2 linked regions of the Daphnia pulex genome follow. The main gene of each other region encodes a partner of the protein of the gene in region 2 in a complex. Links are inferred from orthologs where the notes say so. Each region holds a gene or a part of one and is shown on either strand. Other genes may lie near its edges.

Region 1 (4,156 bases), about 4.5 Mb from region 2:
GCGCCAAGCGGAAAAATCGCGAAGCTTTTACTCATGACGGCCTAACAAAACGTGAATTCGTGATTCTCGTTATCTCGTACTCGGAACTAAAAATAAAATACAATGAAATGCAATATAATACAATTCCATTTATTGCTTAAATTAATGGCCGCTTACTATAAGGTAATAATTTCGTCTTTAAAAAGCGTGCAGATTTCCTACACAGGTGGAAAAATCACAAAAATAACAGCCGTGAGTAACTCGTTACATGAGGAAAAGAAAACCTTTCTAAAAAGGCTTAAAGTTTTTTTTTTAACGTTAGATATACTGTATCTACATGTTTACTGGGTTTCTCTTAACAGAGAAATATGAAAATAGAAACCGTCTATGGGTTCAAGTTTCCGAGTAGCGGCGACCGGTGACCCCATATATTTTCTATTTGACGGAATATAATCTTGTATAGCACTTAGACCTGAAGCGCAAGCCTAAGACCAGCGCTGCTGATATATCATATTGCATTGGGGCCCATACAAAAGGACGCGCTGCTGTCAAAAAGAAAGTTGCGCACAGCAGTATTCACAACCATTCTTCAAAGGAGCTAGATAAAATATTTCAAACTGGCTAATCTCGATTATATTGTGAAACGTACGCGTCGTTATTATTTGTGATGCCCTTGGCGAACGGTTTCATTTTACCGCATTTACCTTGTTTATCGCAACAACAACCAAAACCGAGATAGAATCATTTTCCGGGTTGGTTGAATATGGAGACGGCTTCGCTTATAAAAACATCAAATTGTTTCTAGTTGTTTCTATAGCAAGAAATTGCGCAAGTTACACAAAAATTAATTATTCATTATTAGTAGAAGACACGTTTCATAATTCCAAGCTCGACTTATCTTTGCGGACTTTTTAATGTTCGTATATGTCTGAAATGGTGGTCATTAGTTGTTGGATAAGTTATAAGATAAATGCGGCTGGCAATATTTCATTTGGACTTGTCTGCATGCGAAGCAGGAACGGAATGAAGAAGCGGAATGTCAATGTGGCGTAACGACGAGCCTTTTTTCTATAATTTTTCGGCGAGGTTACGTCCGGAATGAAGGCACCAAGTCGCCCCTTTTTTTCTCTCTCCTCTTGCAAGAGCAATGAGCCGTCGATTGTCATCCCCCCTCCACTCTCTCTTGTCCGGGCTGTGTGTGTTTTTCTCTTTCTAGTCACACAGCTCTCCTCTTTTGCTCATGATCTATAATTAGTGCTTCGTGGTGCGTATAGAGAGAGAGAGAGTGTGTGTGCAAGTCCTCGGTACAAACGAAAAACGGTTTGGCTGCCGGCCCAGTCTCGTCGTCTCTAGCAAATAAGAGATTCTATGTAGCTAGCCACTCACGTCTCCATCATCACGACACTCTATTCGTGAACAACAACAGCACAAAAAATCTATATTAAAAAAAGGAACTTGCCCCAAATGTCTGCTAGCTGCACTTAACAAAAACCTGACTAAAAAGCACACTGATGGGTTCCGCAATCTTCGTCGCTCCCTGAAATAGAACGTGCATAAAACACGAATTCACGTATGGAATTTGAAAAGGACAAGATGGACATTCCTAGATTACCCAATCTCTAGACTAGGAATTATATTATTAGTTTTTTCTTTTTTCTTTTTGAGAAAAAAATGTCGTGAATGTGTTGCTTCCTAGACGATTGGAAATCGAACGAGTTTCACGCCTCCAGATGGCGTTGAGGGTCTTAATGTTCGTTCGTCTGCCACAAGCAATAACGTCCATACACAACAACCCGCTACCCAGTTATTTTTAGTTTTGAAGTCTTTCCCCAAAAAGAAATATATATAAAGAATGAAGATATATAACCTAGATGAAGACACGTTACTGGACGAAACCGAGGGCAGTACACACGCTGAAGGCATGGAGGTACAACTAAATCCCCAATGCCCCCGAATCACAAACTGTGCTGTTGTTATTTTTGATCGACTTGTGTAAATATTTATCTTGTTTCTTCAGGGTGCAGCGAAAACACCGGTCTCCTTGCTTCAGGAGCTGTACGTGAAGAAGGGCATCAACCCCAAGTATGATTTGATCCAAATCGAGGGGGCCATCCATGAGCCTACGTTCAAATATCGGGTTTCTGTTGGGGAACTAGTTGGTAAGTAGGAGCCAAAAAATTCCGCACATGCTGCTGACATTCAACCCGTCAACTGAATTCAATCTAGCCATGGGATCTGGGCAGTCCAAGAAAAAAGCCAAGCATGCTGCAGCTAAAGCGGTTTTGGACAAAATCTGGGGTGGTCATTGCTCTACATTGCTGGAAAATATTGGTGGTGGCACGTGAGCTTTTATTTCCCAGAGTCCATAATCCAAAACAGAATAAGCATTAAATGACGTAAATTTTCCCAACATTTTAGGTTGAGAACAGTAACTTCACCCTATGGTAACAAGACTACGATTAATGGAGCTTTCCTTGTGTAAAATGTTTTCCCATTGTGATTGCAGATGATGGTATTCCGGGCAATCCAGTAGGCAACCTACAAGAACTGTGCATATCTCACAGATGGGCGCCTCCGAGTTACGTGCTGGAAGGCGAAAATGGCCTGCCACACGAAAGGGAATTTGTCATCACTTGTGTCGTGGAGAACCACCAGGAAATTGGAGTGGGCAAGTCGAAGAAATTGGCAAAGAGACAAGCGGCCTATCGAATGCAGATGAAACTCAAAGATACGCCCATCGAGCTGCCCAACCAAGGCGGTCTCGAGGACGAGGATGAAGTAATGCCATTACGTTTTATTATTGCAGGTGAAATGTGTGTTGCAATCGAAGCTTTTGCCTTGTCCAACAGATTGCGCAAAGGGCTTCACTTAGGTGTGGCGGCTTAAAGGAAAACCAATCGAGCAAATCCTCTCACGGAATCAAAATAACGCAGTTCCACCGAAGCCTCAGAAAACTCGCCGGAGAAAAGATCGCAGCCTTACAAGTATGTAATAATACCGTGTTTCTTTTTCTTTAAAACAACCCCAGCTGAATTCCGTTTTGCTACTTTTTGTTACTGCTGCTTGCTCAGGAAGTGGCCTTGAAGGATCCTTGTTTAGATTACTTCCAATTGCTGCGCGAGATATCGGCGGAGCAAAAGTTTGACGCCACCTACGTGGACATTGAGGAAAAGACGCATTCGGGTCGATACCAGTGTCTTTTGACCATGTCGCTCACGCCAATCGCCGTCGTTTGCGGCAGCGGCTCGTCCTACGAAGAAGCTCAAAAAGAAGCCGCCTTCAGTGCCCTGCACTATCTCAAGCTGATGACGAAGAAGATGCCATCAGCACAAGTCCCGGCCAGCAGCAGCACCGATCCCGCCACCGACTCGGCCAATGAAGAAACGAATAGTAGTCGGTAGTAATAGCTTTGACGATGTGACCACCAATTTAGCATTTTGCTTTACACCTTAAAAGTATTTCCTCTCTCAGACTAGGTCATTTGTTTTAGTCCTTATTGACAATCTCAACATTTTCATGTGGCGGCATTTTCTTGAAATCAATCGTCAATTGCGTGCGTGTGTGTAATTGTAAAAAAATGCCCTCCCTCAAATGATATGCCAACCAACCCCCAACGAGACAGAAAAAGAAAATACACATTGTGATCGATTTTAATGGCTGCCGCTAGATGGCGTTGGCGTGTCTAGTTTTCCCTTTTTTTTCTTCTTCTTGCCGATTGGTCCGCTGCAGCAGCTCGGCGCTGCTGATTTAGTCTCGAGTTGGATTTGGTGTTGTCGTGACGCTCGACGCTCACAGTTGAGACCCAGCAGCAGTTTGGCGCCGTACAGTGTGTTGTGTGTCGAGAGAGAGAGAGAGACAAGTGGTGTGAGTGTTGTGTGTGTTGTGTGTGTGTTGGCTTGAGAGAGAAGGTCTCTAGCTGTGAGTGTGTTTGTGTGTGTCTTGATCGTATTGAATTGAATTGGCCGTGTGTGCAATCTAGATATATAATTAGCTGGCGAAAAGTGGCCTACATGTAAGAAAAGCATCGGCTGGCGCCACCCAGAGGTAAAAAGAGAAAGAAAAAGTCGTTGCTCGGTGTGTGTCAAGGGCCGTTGTGTGTGTGTGTGTGTGTGGGGGTGGGTATGGGTCGATAAGAGCCGAGGATCGACTCTGTTTTCTTCTTCTTCTTCCATTTTCT
Region 2 (4,414 bases):
TGCAACGAGCATATGTATGCTACGTCCAAGAAAACGTTTTCTGTTGCACCACTATTTTTAAATAGTCCAATCCATTTATCCAAAACAGATGGTTCAATTAATTCTCGTTTTATGGTACGTATCCTCCACACAGGGGTTAAGCGTGTGAAACAATCGCTAGGCAACTTTGCGCAATATCTACAACAGAAATTTTTCATGAAACCTAGTTTTACAGAATTAAAAAAGTATGTGATACCTGTTAATTATAGAAATCGCGTTTTGCAAAGATGCATACGAATTAGAAGTTTCATCAGAAGGGTAGGGAGCCTGAATGCAATTAAGCATATCTTCGTTGTGGTTGAAAAACTCAGCAACCGAATTGTGATACCCGCTTTTACTTAACAGAATTTGTTCTGTTGCATGAAAGTGAGATAAATCCACTAAAAACTCATCCATGCGCTCATTTTCGACCATGAGGATGTAATGTGCTTTTTTAGCGCGAGCTCGAGCTTTTGAGTGAACGTAAGCCCGGTAGGATTGTGGTAAATCGTAACGAATAACCAGATGACATGCCGGAACGTCAATTCCATCCTCTAATACGCTAGTGGCTACAAGAATGTTACAATCACGACTACGAAATCGTTTCATGACGTCTTCTTGCTTTCTTTCTTCATTCTCCATTTCTTTGACACTCACGCCTTCCATTCGGTCAACCGTATACAACGGGCTTAGATAAGCTAGTTGTGGATCACAACGACTTGCATCCTATAAAAAAATGTAAATGAATATTCGGCATTAAATATTACATAGCAATACGAGAATTTTGTCGTTGTGGAACCTTTAAAAGATGGTAGAGTAATTTTGCTGTAGTACGTCTTTCAGTGAAAATCATCCCACAGAGCTGGTAAGCATCTTCTCGATTTCGGTGATGGCGATTTGAGAAATCAGGACGCCGCCGTCGACTAGTGTGTCCTGGTTGAGTTGTCGATTGACGCAAAATCGCTGGACCGTTTTCAATTAATTCTGCGGTTTGCGACGTTTCGGTTGCCAACTTTGGGGTCTGAACAGTTTGCCCTTCGGACGAAACTAAAGAATCGCTTACTTCTACTAATTCAGCACTTGTGGGCAGCACGGAAGGTATCGGCGGTCGGTAGATCCGAAGAATGTCCAACAGGCGAAGAACCTTGGGATGGCTAAACTTCACGATACGTTCATATTCAGAGTATTTCTGAAACTCTTCTTCGCACAATGATCTAGAAAGTAAATATATATATATCATGTATACAAAGTACGTTGAAATGTGTACTTTAAAAGCGCAAACCTTATTTCAAGTAAAACAGTGAAGACAAGGCATAATAGAAGATAGTGTCTTTCATAAACTGCTTTCGTTTTCAATTTTTCTAAATGAATGAGGTATACCAAAGCAGCACGGTCTGCTCCCCAAGGACCTAGGTCAATTATATTGTATTAATTTTTAAAATCGTCTAACGTAAACTTCTAAAAATAAATAAAAAAACTTATAAAAATATTTGTGATTATTCACCAAAATTTTGAATGATTTGGATGTATTCTTCAAGTAGATCAAGAGGTTCATGACATGGATTAGGAATCTCTTTTAGATAATCTTGTTCCCCATAGTACTCAGCGGGATCATATCGATGATCTCGCAGATAATCATTCAATAAAAGAATACGACCCATTATTTCTTGCTGCAGCTCTGTGGCTTCATACTTGGACGATATTTCACATATCAATTCTTTGGGTCGAGTTGAATGCCTAGATTAAATAAAACATTAGAAGAGTTAATTTTCCACAAAAGTAGTCAGCAAGCAGATAGCATATTGGACTTCATCATGCCCACACTAAATGAATTAATCACCATATACTTACTGCAAGGCTGACAAAACGTTGTTGGAAGTCGAAATAACCGATTTTAATTTTGTTTCCAGAATAGTTATCAACTGAGACAGTTCCATCGGCTTGCATATGTTATTTACAATAGATGCAGTTAATCCAAGGATTCTTGGATGTACACTACTTGCTGCATTTTCATAGAGAGTTAAAACTCCTTTTAAAGCTTCATTGTTCATAACATTATGGCAGTCATCCAATATCAACAAATTAAGCTTGTTCATTTTGAGAAAGTTTTTGTGGATGACTTCTAGAAATATGGAATATGTCATGACAAGCACCTGACTTTTCCCCAACTCCTCTGTCCATCTTGAATAATACATATTAAGTGTTTTACAGTTAATTTTATCCATAAAATACTTCTATAAAAATTTACCTTTCAGAACTCCACTGCAATACACCTTTTTTCTCATGAAAAATTCCTACTTTCAATGGAGTGTGATGGCGCAAGTAAGCTGAACGCTGAAGTGCCAATTTGATTGTTGGGGTAAGGTAAACTGAGCAAAAACCTCCCTTGGGTAAGAGCAGAGAACTAATTAAAACAGTAAGTAAATTAATGAGTTAAAATTTTACATCACTTCATAACTTACTTGCACACTTCAAAAGCTTTTTCTCGAATTAACATTACAGCAATGAACATCTTACCCAAGTCAGCTTTTAAACATGCAATAGTATTTTTAACTTTTGCAGATTCAAAAAGTTCAACCTAAAAAAATGTATAAACAATATTTCTTAACTAAACATGGCAATCAAATATAAATTTGTTAAAGAATAAGTCTAACAATAGTATGGAAATCCTATACAAACCTCAAAATCTCTTGGAGTAAAATTATCATTTGATGATAAATCCATCATTTGAGGTAACATTTTAGCGAATAAAACGAATGGACATAAGAGGAAACTCGAGAAAATTTCTGAAGCTTAGTAACAACTTAAGAACATCAGAACTCAGATGTAAAAAGTTTTTTGTTTACAGGTTTACAGCATGAGGATGACTTAAACAACGATGCCATATTAAAATATCACATGGCCGTGAAACTCCCTTTTGCAGGGTTAACCGGGGGGTTGATTTAACCCTGAAGGGGAATTTTGCTTCATCTAGCGAGGAAAAGACACACATATTTAAATCATTACTTTGTCTGATTGTTTATTAAAGAATGTATAGTTGTATACGATGTTAGATATCATCGGTAACTCTACAGCATACAAGCATATAAACCTAAATCATACGTAGATTTTTTCATATATAATCATTTAATTGTTTTTTAGTATTCTAGATATGTCGAACAATACGGAATTGTTGGTGTTCGCGCTTGCAAGATGATGGGGCCTAACGGCCTTCGTTATGTTATCGTCAGCATCACGCATCACCATGGGTTTTCATTCCCCACATCTACTTTAAATTTTTATTAATTATAGTGTTCTTGTTATTATACATCCATTTCAGTTTTCTCTCGTTCTGCGAATTTTAACGTTTTATAACAGAAATGTGAATTCGACGACTGCCGACTGCGGAGCACCTGGTCGCTGTAATTGAGGTTGGTGTGGTCAGTCTGAGGAGGACGTGTGAACGTTGTAGTTGTATGCCTACCGATCGGATTCAGCTGAAGCCGAGATCGGTCGCTAAGATAATGCAAATAAAAATGAACAAGGCAACTTGGATACAATTTTATGTGTCATTGATCGTGAGATGAAAATGAACTGTAGGACTGTAGATCTCTATCATTGGTTTCCTGTTTTTAATTTAATTTTTAATTCATTTTAACGAGTGCTTTTTTTTTCTCTTGTCTTTCCAAGAATAGTTTAGTCAAAATACCGATGACAATCATATCAATCATTTCTGAATATTTTGGGTTAAAGTCACAATCGGGTTGGATTAAGAAAAATCCGGTTTCAACATTTTTGGATAACAACGATACAAGGGCAATCACCCAACTGTCTATTGGTGCAGCAACAAAATCCCAAAGGCGGACACCCATTGGCCTTTTTTTAAATAATAATACACTAGTCGCTAGATAAGAATAGCTAAGGCTAGGAAAATAAACCAATTAATGTGTAAAATAACTTATGATAACTCTAGTAATCTCGACCGCAGAAAGATCATTCACCATAACTAGACTGTTCATTGTTTTCCATTTTTCAACAGCGTTTTCACGTGTTACGCACCCCTATAAGTTTTCTGGTTCAAGCAGCGGTTTTCAAATTTTTAATATACCTTCACATTGCCTTCCACACACTACGGTTGCTTAAACCGAAAAATGTAACATAGTAGGAATGTTGTTAAAGCCATCTCTGGTTAAAGCATATTACGCAGTTTAAAGGTCACATTTTACAACAACCCATTATATTTAAGACCTTGCTAAAATTCTATAATTTCTGCTGCAACTTTTAGTTGTGTGTTTCACTGATAGTTCAATGTACTGCTTGCAGTCTCACGTGTATTTTCGGTATTTTTAAGATGCGTTTTACTAATGAGGCGATGCTTCTAAACAGTTTAAGTAGAGTGCGAATCCGTTCCTGCGAG

What was found.
Region 1: the proteins of endoribonuclease Dcr-1-like (region 2) and RISC-loading complex subunit tarbp2-like are in contact, whole or in part, in a cryo-EM structure (PDB 8DGJ), measured with the Drosophila melanogaster proteins. The link is inferred for Daphnia pulex from reciprocal best matches to the Drosophila melanogaster genes Dcr-1 and loqs. Residues at the interface, in NP_524453.1 of Drosophila melanogaster: His245, Phe248, Asp251, His252, Arg253, Asp255, Glu258, Ile259, His303, Tyr306, Gln307, Glu310, Lys311, Lys313, Arg320, Leu323, Cys326, Leu327, Ser329, Thr330, Ile333, Gln334, Tyr336, Ser337, Leu338, Glu340, His341; in NP_609646.1 of Drosophila melanogaster: Thr358, Gln359, His360, Ser361, Lys363, Val364, Phe367, His368, Lys372, Ile414, Glu415, Glu416, Lys417, Thr418, Phe419, Gln422, Gln424, Pro433, Val434, Gly435, Val436, His438, Ser440, Asn454, Tyr458, Ile461, Met462, Lys464, Lys465.

What each region holds. Positions count from the first base shown.
Region 1 is NC_060018.1:12,865,725-12,869,880, reverse strand, and holds RISC-loading complex subunit tarbp2-like, read left to right. Parts: upstream 1-1,760; 5' UTR 1,761-1,831; coding exon 1,832-1,906; intron 1,907-1,996; coding exon 1,997-2,138; intron 2,139-2,205; coding exon 2,206-2,320; intron 2,321-2,397; coding exon 2,398-2,423; intron 2,424-2,485; coding exon 2,486-2,757; intron 2,758-2,828; coding exon 2,829-2,963; intron 2,964-3,050; coding exon 3,051-3,380; 3' UTR 3,381-3,633; downstream 3,634-4,156.
Region 2 is NC_060018.1:8,404,862-8,409,275, forward strand, and holds the start of endoribonuclease Dcr-1-like, read right to left. Parts: upstream 2,893-4,414; 5' UTR 2,758-2,892; coding exon 2,698-2,757; intron 2,597-2,697; coding exon 2,481-2,596; intron 2,423-2,480; coding exon 2,267-2,422; intron 2,200-2,266; coding exon 1,870-2,199; intron 1,756-1,869; coding exon 1,523-1,755; intron 1,428-1,522; coding exon 1,301-1,427; intron 1,233-1,300; coding exon 818-1,232; intron 745-817; coding exon 236-744; intron 178-235; coding exon 1-177. UniProt on the Drosophila melanogaster protein: Endoribonuclease which functions in microRNA- (miRNA) gene silencing and, independently of its ribonuclease III activity, also acts in the short interfering RNA- (siRNA) gene silencing pathway.